Linked DNA regions of Saccharomyces cerevisiae S288C. The protein of the gene in region 1 interacts with the protein of each later gene in a pairwise test. Each region holds a gene or a part of one and is shown in the gene's direction. Other genes may lie near its edges.

The links.
Region 2: the proteins of CTH1 (region 1) and RNR2 interact in a two-hybrid assay, tested with the Saccharomyces cerevisiae proteins (one study listed by BioGRID).

The regions. Positions count from the first base shown.
Region 1 is NC_001136.10:763,577-767,358, reverse strand, and holds CTH1 (putative mRNA-binding protein CTH1), read left to right. Parts: upstream 1-2,203; coding exon 2,204-3,181; downstream 3,182-3,782. Other genes in the region: ENT5 (Ent5p), read left to right, coding at 1-623; GIR2 (Gir2p), read right to left, coding at 856-1,653; NUM1 (Num1p), read right to left, coding at 3,485-3,782. UniProt on the Saccharomyces cerevisiae protein: Binds to specific AU-rich elements (ARE) in the 3'-untranslated region of target mRNAs and promotes their degradation. In response to iron deficiency, promotes the decay of many mRNAs encoding proteins involved in iron-dependent pathways.
Region 2 is NC_001142.9:390,152-394,103, forward strand, and holds RNR2 (ribonucleotide-diphosphate reductase subunit RNR2), read left to right. Parts: upstream 1-2,252; coding exon 2,253-3,452; downstream 3,453-3,952. Other genes in the region: VPS53 (Vps53p), read right to left, coding at 1-702; YJL028W (uncharacterized protein), read left to right, coding at 1,160-1,495; YJL027C (uncharacterized protein), read right to left, coding at 1,682-2,098; RRN7 (Rrn7p), read left to right, coding at 3,816-3,952. UniProt on the Saccharomyces cerevisiae protein: Provides the precursors necessary for DNA synthesis. Catalyzes the biosynthesis of deoxyribonucleotides from the corresponding ribonucleotides. RNR2 provides the diiron-tyrosyl radical center.

The DNA.
Region 1 (3,782 bases):
CCAACCAGATTTCAACGTCTGCAAGTTACGATAACATCGACGACGATGAATTTGATGCAGATGCAGATGGCTTTGACAGTGAAATGGATGCTAATAATGTGACCAACTTCAATGTTCCTGTGGAAACAGAAGCAAATTCGAATACTCGCAGGCGTTCTCATATGGAAGAACAAAGAAGACAAAGAAGGGAGATATTAAGAGAGCAGATCAAAAATAAAGAACAGCAGAGGAAAAGAAAGCAACAACAAGATAGCATCCCTGACTTAATCGATCTTGACGATAGTACTAGCACCACGAATAATATAACAATAGACAATGGTAATAATGACAACAAAAACAATAATATCAACAGCAATAGTGATGATGATGATGATGAGTTTGGCGACTTCCAAAGCGAAACGAGTCCCGACACAACAGCACCTAAAACTTCCAATAGTAAAATAGATGATTTGCTTGACTGGGATGGCCCAAAGTCAGACACAGATACCACCGCTGCTGCGCAAACATCATTGCCCTTTGCGGAGAAAAAACAGCAAAAAGCCCGTCCTCAGGCTACAAAGGACAAGTCGAAGGGAAATGATGCATTTTCCGACTTATTCTCTTACTCCAAGTCGTTGGTCTAATCACCAAATACCCCTTCATCTCCCAATACATTCAATACAGTCAACAAATTTTCATTCTCAGATATATGTATCCATATATACACTAATAATATCTTACTAAAAACTTGTCTATTTCCTTCTTCAAATGTCAGTTTTCTTTTTATTGAATATCAAAAAAATATTATATAGATACATTTGTATATGTCATTATCCATGCAGAAGAAAATACTTAAATACTTAAGTACACAAGTATTTATTGATTTGCTATTTCGGTCTTGGCAAGTCCCTTGGCTACGTCATCTACACTCGCGTCATCCTCTTCCATATACTCGTCGCCTGTGCCCACCACGCCTTGTTCAAACATTTGCTTACCGGTTAGCTTCCCATGATGAGCCTTCATCCTTCTCACCTGGTCTCTTTCATCCAGTTTCAGTTCTTGGCGAAATTTAGACCTCCATTCCAAGTACGATTCTCTTGTGACTTTAGTACCATGGAACTTGGCCTGTTCCTTCTTTTCACGTTCTTGTGCTTCCAGCTCGTACTGCTTCTCGAGCTTATTCAATTGTTCACTATACCATTGCTCACATCTTTCTTTTATGGATGAAATCAATGCAAAACACATTTGCATACCCAATAACATATCGGTTTCGATTTGCGATTCTAATTGTACGGTTAATTCAGGCAAGTACCCCTTAAAGCTTATTAAATCTGGCAGGTTTTCAAACTTTTTCAGTACTTTATTACCATGGTCGTCATATTCAACCTCGTCTTCATCTTCCTCGTTATCTTCTTCGTTGTCATTGAGGGCTACTTCTTGAGCTTCCAATGAAATCAGGCATGGTTCGTCAGGGTAGTTTTCTGGTAACTTGAATTCGGCGATTATAGTGTGCTCTTTGGTTAAAACAGAAGTAGAATCACCTGTATCCAGCTCTAATTTAATGGCTACTTCAAATTTAATCTTTGGGTATTCATCGTTTATGATCCTCAGTTCATCAGGATAAATGGACTCTAAAACTTCTAGTTCCTGCTTCTGTTCTTCCTTATAATCCATAGTATTAACAAGTGCCTTCTGGATATGGAGGGAGGGCTTTTCCTTAAATTATACCAACCGACAGCATGGGAAACTCAGCTCTTTAAAGCCAATCTAACGATGCCTGCTGATTTTACAATTGGAAAATAGAAAATTTTCATTTTCCACCTTCTGTTACCCGAGTTTATAGACCTAGGATTTCCAATCATTACTTATTAGGACATTCGGGAAAAATATACATATATGGCCCACTTCTCTCACATCTCTTTTAGGGTCTGTGCCAATGGCACCCAAATTTTTCTTCTTTCTTTTTCGCTCGTATTCTCTCACGCTCTTGATCAGTGTGAGCAGTTACTAATATACTGGATCAGAGAACATTAACTCAAAGGTTGATAGTGTAGATCATTGGACATAGTGTGACGGTTTTGCACTCTTGTTGCGCTTGCTCTCTTAACAAGTCACATCTTATTTAGCCTCTTCACCCATAAGTTGATTGTAAAGCCGTAGAACCCTATATCACAGTCTCTTCGGCAACTCAACCAATAAGAACTATTAAGGATTAACACTAGCCATGATGCCGAATGTTGCTCCAAACAGCTACTATTTAAACATACCGAATGCCAATTCGACCTCAACGACTACGTCCTCGATCTTTTCTGATCTCAACAAGGAGTACGAGTCAAAGATTAAAGAAATCGAAGAATATTATATAAAGACACTGCTCAATGAAAATACCGATAATGATGACAGCAGCAGCTCCGAGGGGCATAATATAAATGAAACGGACATTTTAAGTGAATACTCACCAAGGCCTTCTCCTTGGTTACCATCCAAACCAAACTGTTATCATCCGTTGGGAGATTTTAAAGACTTGATCATATCAGATTCCAGACCTACAAATACATTACCTATTAATAACCCTTTCGCAGGCAATAATAACATCTCAACACTTGCTACAACTGAGAAAAAACGTAAGAAAAGGTCACTCGAAGTTGAGATTAACCCTACTTACACGACAAGTGCATTTTCATTACCCCTGACAGCGGAGAATTTACAAAAACTATCTCAGGTGGATTCTCAGTCTACTGGACTTCCATACACACTTCCAATTCAGAAAACAACAAAACTGGAACCTTGTAGAAGGGCACCTTTGCAGCTTCCTCAATTAGTCAATAAGACCTTATACAAAACTGAGCTCTGTGAATCTTTTACTATTAAAGGCTATTGTAAGTATGGAAATAAATGCCAATTTGCTCATGGTCTTAATGAACTGAAATTCAAGAAAAAATCAAACAATTATAGAACTAAACCTTGCATAAATTGGTCGAAGTTAGGCTACTGTCCGTACGGTAAGCGTTGCTGTTTCAAACACGGTGATGATAAGGACGTTGAAATATATCAAAATGCTAACGATGGAAGAAGTAAGGATACGGCGTTGACTCCACTTCCTACTTCCCTAGCCCCAAGCAACAACGATAATATCACTAATTTGAGTAAGCCTAGGAACTTACATACTAGTGTTAAAGCATTGCAAAGGATGACTTGGTAGTCGGTCAACAACAAAGCCCTTTGAATATTTGGCGTATTTCTGCTGCCTCTCCTTATTTATTTATTCATTATCGTTTTCATATTTATTTCAGTCACAAAACAAAATTAAAGAATTCGTGACCTACTAACATGAGAATTAGTTAATTTAATCTTTTTAGTTTATTTATTTCATTAGGTAGAATTTTTTTTTCTTTCTCTGATCTTTCAGTGTTACTCATCGGTGGCAAACGTGTTTACAGGACTAAAAATCGAAATAATGATTATTATTGTTCTTAATTTACTTAGAGTTATTTAGTTTTTTTAACTATCGTAAATTGCCAAATGATCGGCTTTGTGGTACTCTATGTCTTAGAGACCTTGTAGATACGGACCTTCTCGATGCGCTAAGTCTTTTACTGGAGCTCTTTGTATTTTCGCCGGGCAATGGGAAAATCTTTCCTGAATACATATTATCTGTTGGATCATCAGCGATGTCCTCTAAACTTATCCCTTGCATGTTCCTTTGAAGTAAATAACGTAATGAATTATACCAAATATTGTGTCTTTGCCTTGTAGGACAAGTAAACTTAATAGTCCTAGTTTCTGTGGTAACAACAATACTT
Region 2 (3,952 bases), on another chromosome or scaffold:
CTCTTTCATTTCGAAGAGAAGTTTGTCCAAACACCAATCTATCATCTGGGCTCTCGTACTTGTATCGCAGTCGAGTAGCTCGCAGGCACCTTCGCGCAATTCCATAGTGAGTGCTGTATCATGCTCTGAGATATTGCCGCCGGAAAAGAGCGCATTGTAGTTTTGTTTAATTTTGGACAAAGTGTCTCCTTTCAGTCTTGAAATGGAGCTCAACAAATAGTTTATCTCGTCCAATGATTTGTAAGAGATGAATGTGTTTTCAGCAAGCGAACACATTATCTTATAAGGGGACACCATTTTTTTGAATGAGCCCTGTGAGAGTAATTCATTGCATTGTATGTAACTGTCTGTCAATATCTTTAAATTTTGGAAAAGAGTCAAAGAGTGGGTGAGGTTTTTCTTGGCAATGTCCAGGTACGAGATACCTTCTGTCAGATTCGATATCGTCAACTCGGTGGAGGCTGAGACATCTTGAGTTTCTTTGAAATCTTGGAAAACTTTCCTCAGAGAAGCCTCTATTTCAGCGGAATTTTTAGGGTGTTCCTTCAATTCATTCTCTTCTTTGAGAATATCCTCTTGCAATTGCTTTTTGTAGCTTCTGGTAATACTGATCAGTTCATCTATGTTGTTCAGGGATTCTTTTGAAAAAAGTATATTGGTAATATCTTCCAGCGGGTCATAATCTACCGTACCTTCCAGCATTGTCCTTCTGAGAAAACAAAAATGGAAGATGTTGTGAAAATGCAGTAAGTGACAATAAGCTAGCGACTTTTCAATGATCGCAGATTAAGTATATATACACTTTAGGTCTCCTTCTCTTCTTTACTAGCTACGAAAAAACAAAGAAAAAAAAAACAAAATAGAGGGAAAAAAGATATACGTATAAAAATATGCTCCAGGGGAGGTTCGAACTCTCGACCTTCAGATTATGAGACTGACGCTCTTCCTACTGAGCTACTGAAGCACTATTTCTTGTTCCAACCGAGGAATAATACTAGACCTGTAGAAAAGTACCGCTTATCTAATATCCAACTTTTTCTTCTGTTCCCTTTAGTGAATTCAAGATGAAGGAACATAACAGAACGGAAAACAAAAAAAAAGGGAAGAAAAAAGATATCACCACCAATTGGCACGCTCGCAACGGTTTCGGGCCAGATTCATGGCCCTGTGGGGTAGAAGTGCCTACAGACAAAAAACCGTTACGTCCCGCCTCACCAAGCATCGACACACAAGCCCTCTCAACCTCCTTAATTTCTTTATCTTTTTTTCCCTTCACCTCTGTGCTCTTTTTTTAGCCACAGCTGTGCATTACGCTTGCTTTGCTTGTTTTGTTCTCTTTCGCCATGCCATATTACTACTTTTCTACTTACTGGCACGAGGCCGCGCAAGCCAGATCCAAGCACGCCAGAAAGTGCGGTGTACTGGTGCAACCTTTTATCGATTTCTCATCATATCGCTATCGCAACGGGCATGGGCGACGAAAAAGCCAATCTAAAGCGTTGTCTTCCTCGTTCCTCGCGCACGCGATTTTGCGTTCTGCATAGGAAGCCGAAGTCGAACAAGAAGCAGGCAAAGTTTAGAGCACTGCCCCTCCGCACTCAAAAAAGAAAAAACTAGGAGGAAAATAAAATTCTCAACCACACAAACACATAAACACATACAAATACAAATACAAGCTTATTTACTTGACATCGCGCGATCTTCCACTATTCAGCGCCGTCCGCCCTCTCTCGTGTTTTTTGTTTACGCGACAACTATGCGAAATCCGGAGCAACGGGCAACCGTTTGGGGAAAGACCACACCCACGCGCGATCGCCATGGCAACGAGGTCGCACACGCCCCACACCCAGACCTCCCTGCGAGCGGGCATGGGTACAATGTCCCCGTTGCCACAGAGACCACTTCGTAGCACAGCGCAGAGCGTAGCGTGTTGTTGCTGCTGACAAAAGAAAATTTTTCTTAGCAAAGCAAAGGAGGGGAAGCACGGGCAGATAGCACCGTACCATACCCTTGGAAACTCGAAATGAACGAAGCAGGAAATGAGAGAATGAGAGTTTTGTAGGTATATATAGCGGTAGTGTTTGCGCGTTACCATCATCTTCTGGATCTATCTATTGTTCTTTTCCTCATCACTTTCCCCTTTTTCGCTCTTCTTCTTGTCTTTTATTTCTTTCTTTTTTTTAATTGTTCCCTCGATTGGCTATCTACCAAAGAATCCAAACTTAATACACGTATTTATTTGTCCAATTACCATGCCTAAAGAGACCCCTTCCAAAGCTGCTGCCGATGCATTGTCCGACTTGGAAATCAAAGATTCCAAGTCCAACCTTAACAAGGAATTGGAGACATTGAGAGAGGAAAACAGAGTAAAGTCAGACATGCTTAAGGAGAAATTGAGCAAGGACGCTGAAAATCACAAGGCTTACTTGAAATCTCATCAAGTTCACCGTCACAAACTTAAGGAAATGGAAAAGGAGGAACCTTTGTTGAATGAAGACAAGGAGAGAACTGTTCTTTTCCCTATCAAGTACCATGAAATCTGGCAAGCCTACAAGCGTGCCGAAGCTTCTTTCTGGACCGCTGAAGAAATTGATTTGTCTAAGGATATCCATGACTGGAACAACAGAATGAACGAAAACGAGAGATTTTTCATTTCCAGAGTTCTTGCCTTTTTCGCCGCTTCTGACGGTATTGTTAATGAAAACTTGGTTGAAAACTTCTCCACCGAAGTCCAAATTCCAGAGGCAAAGAGTTTCTACGGTTTCCAAATCATGATTGAAAATATTCACTCTGAAACTTACTCCTTGTTGATCGATACTTACATCAAGGACCCTAAAGAAAGTGAATTCTTGTTCAATGCCATTCACACCATCCCAGAAATCGGTGAGAAGGCCGAATGGGCTTTAAGATGGATTCAAGACGCTGACGCCTTGTTTGGTGAAAGACTAGTTGCCTTTGCCTCCATTGAAGGTGTCTTTTTCTCCGGTTCCTTTGCCTCCATTTTCTGGTTGAAAAAGAGAGGTATGATGCCCGGTTTAACCTTTTCCAACGAATTGATCTGTAGAGACGAAGGTTTGCACACCGACTTTGCATGCTTGTTGTTCGCCCATTTGAAGAACAAACCAGACCCAGCCATTGTTGAAAAAATTGTCACCGAGGCTGTGGAAATTGAACAAAGATACTTCTTGGACGCCTTACCAGTTGCTTTGCTAGGTATGAACGCTGACTTAATGAACCAATACGTTGAGTTCGTCGCCGACAGACTGTTGGTTGCTTTCGGTAACAAGAAATACTACAAGGTCGAAAACCCCTTCGATTTCATGGAAAACATCTCCTTGGCCGGTAAGACCAACTTCTTCGAAAAGAGAGTTTCTGACTACCAAAAGGCTGGTGTTATGTCCAAGTCGACTAAGCAAGAAGCCGGTGCTTTCACCTTCAACGAAGACTTTTAAGAGTATCTCTCTATATATTTCTTTTTACGCAGTCTCTTCAATCTCTTTATGTGGGCTTTCGCACCTCTTATTTATATATATATATATACACTGAATCATATAAACTTTTTTTTATATTGAATCTAATATATTATCAAACGGAAACTTCGGCTGAATTTCATACGTATATTGATTAAAGTGGAAAGGGCATCGGAAAAGTAAGAAAAGCTTAAAAAAATTGAAAAAAAAAAAAAAAAAAATAAAAAATAAAAAATAAAAAAACCTATACAATACATACATATGTATATGAATATAAACCTGGAACGATGTGTCTTTAAAAATAGTTGAACGAACTACTCGGACATACCCCTACATCACTTAAGGATGTCTACTTTCATAAGAGGTCCCATCTGCGGTACAGACAACTGCCCCTCACGGCTTTGGCGTATCATTGATGGGAGAAGAACCTGCCAATATGGTCACGTTATGGAAGGTGACGTGGAATTTAACGACGATGAAGA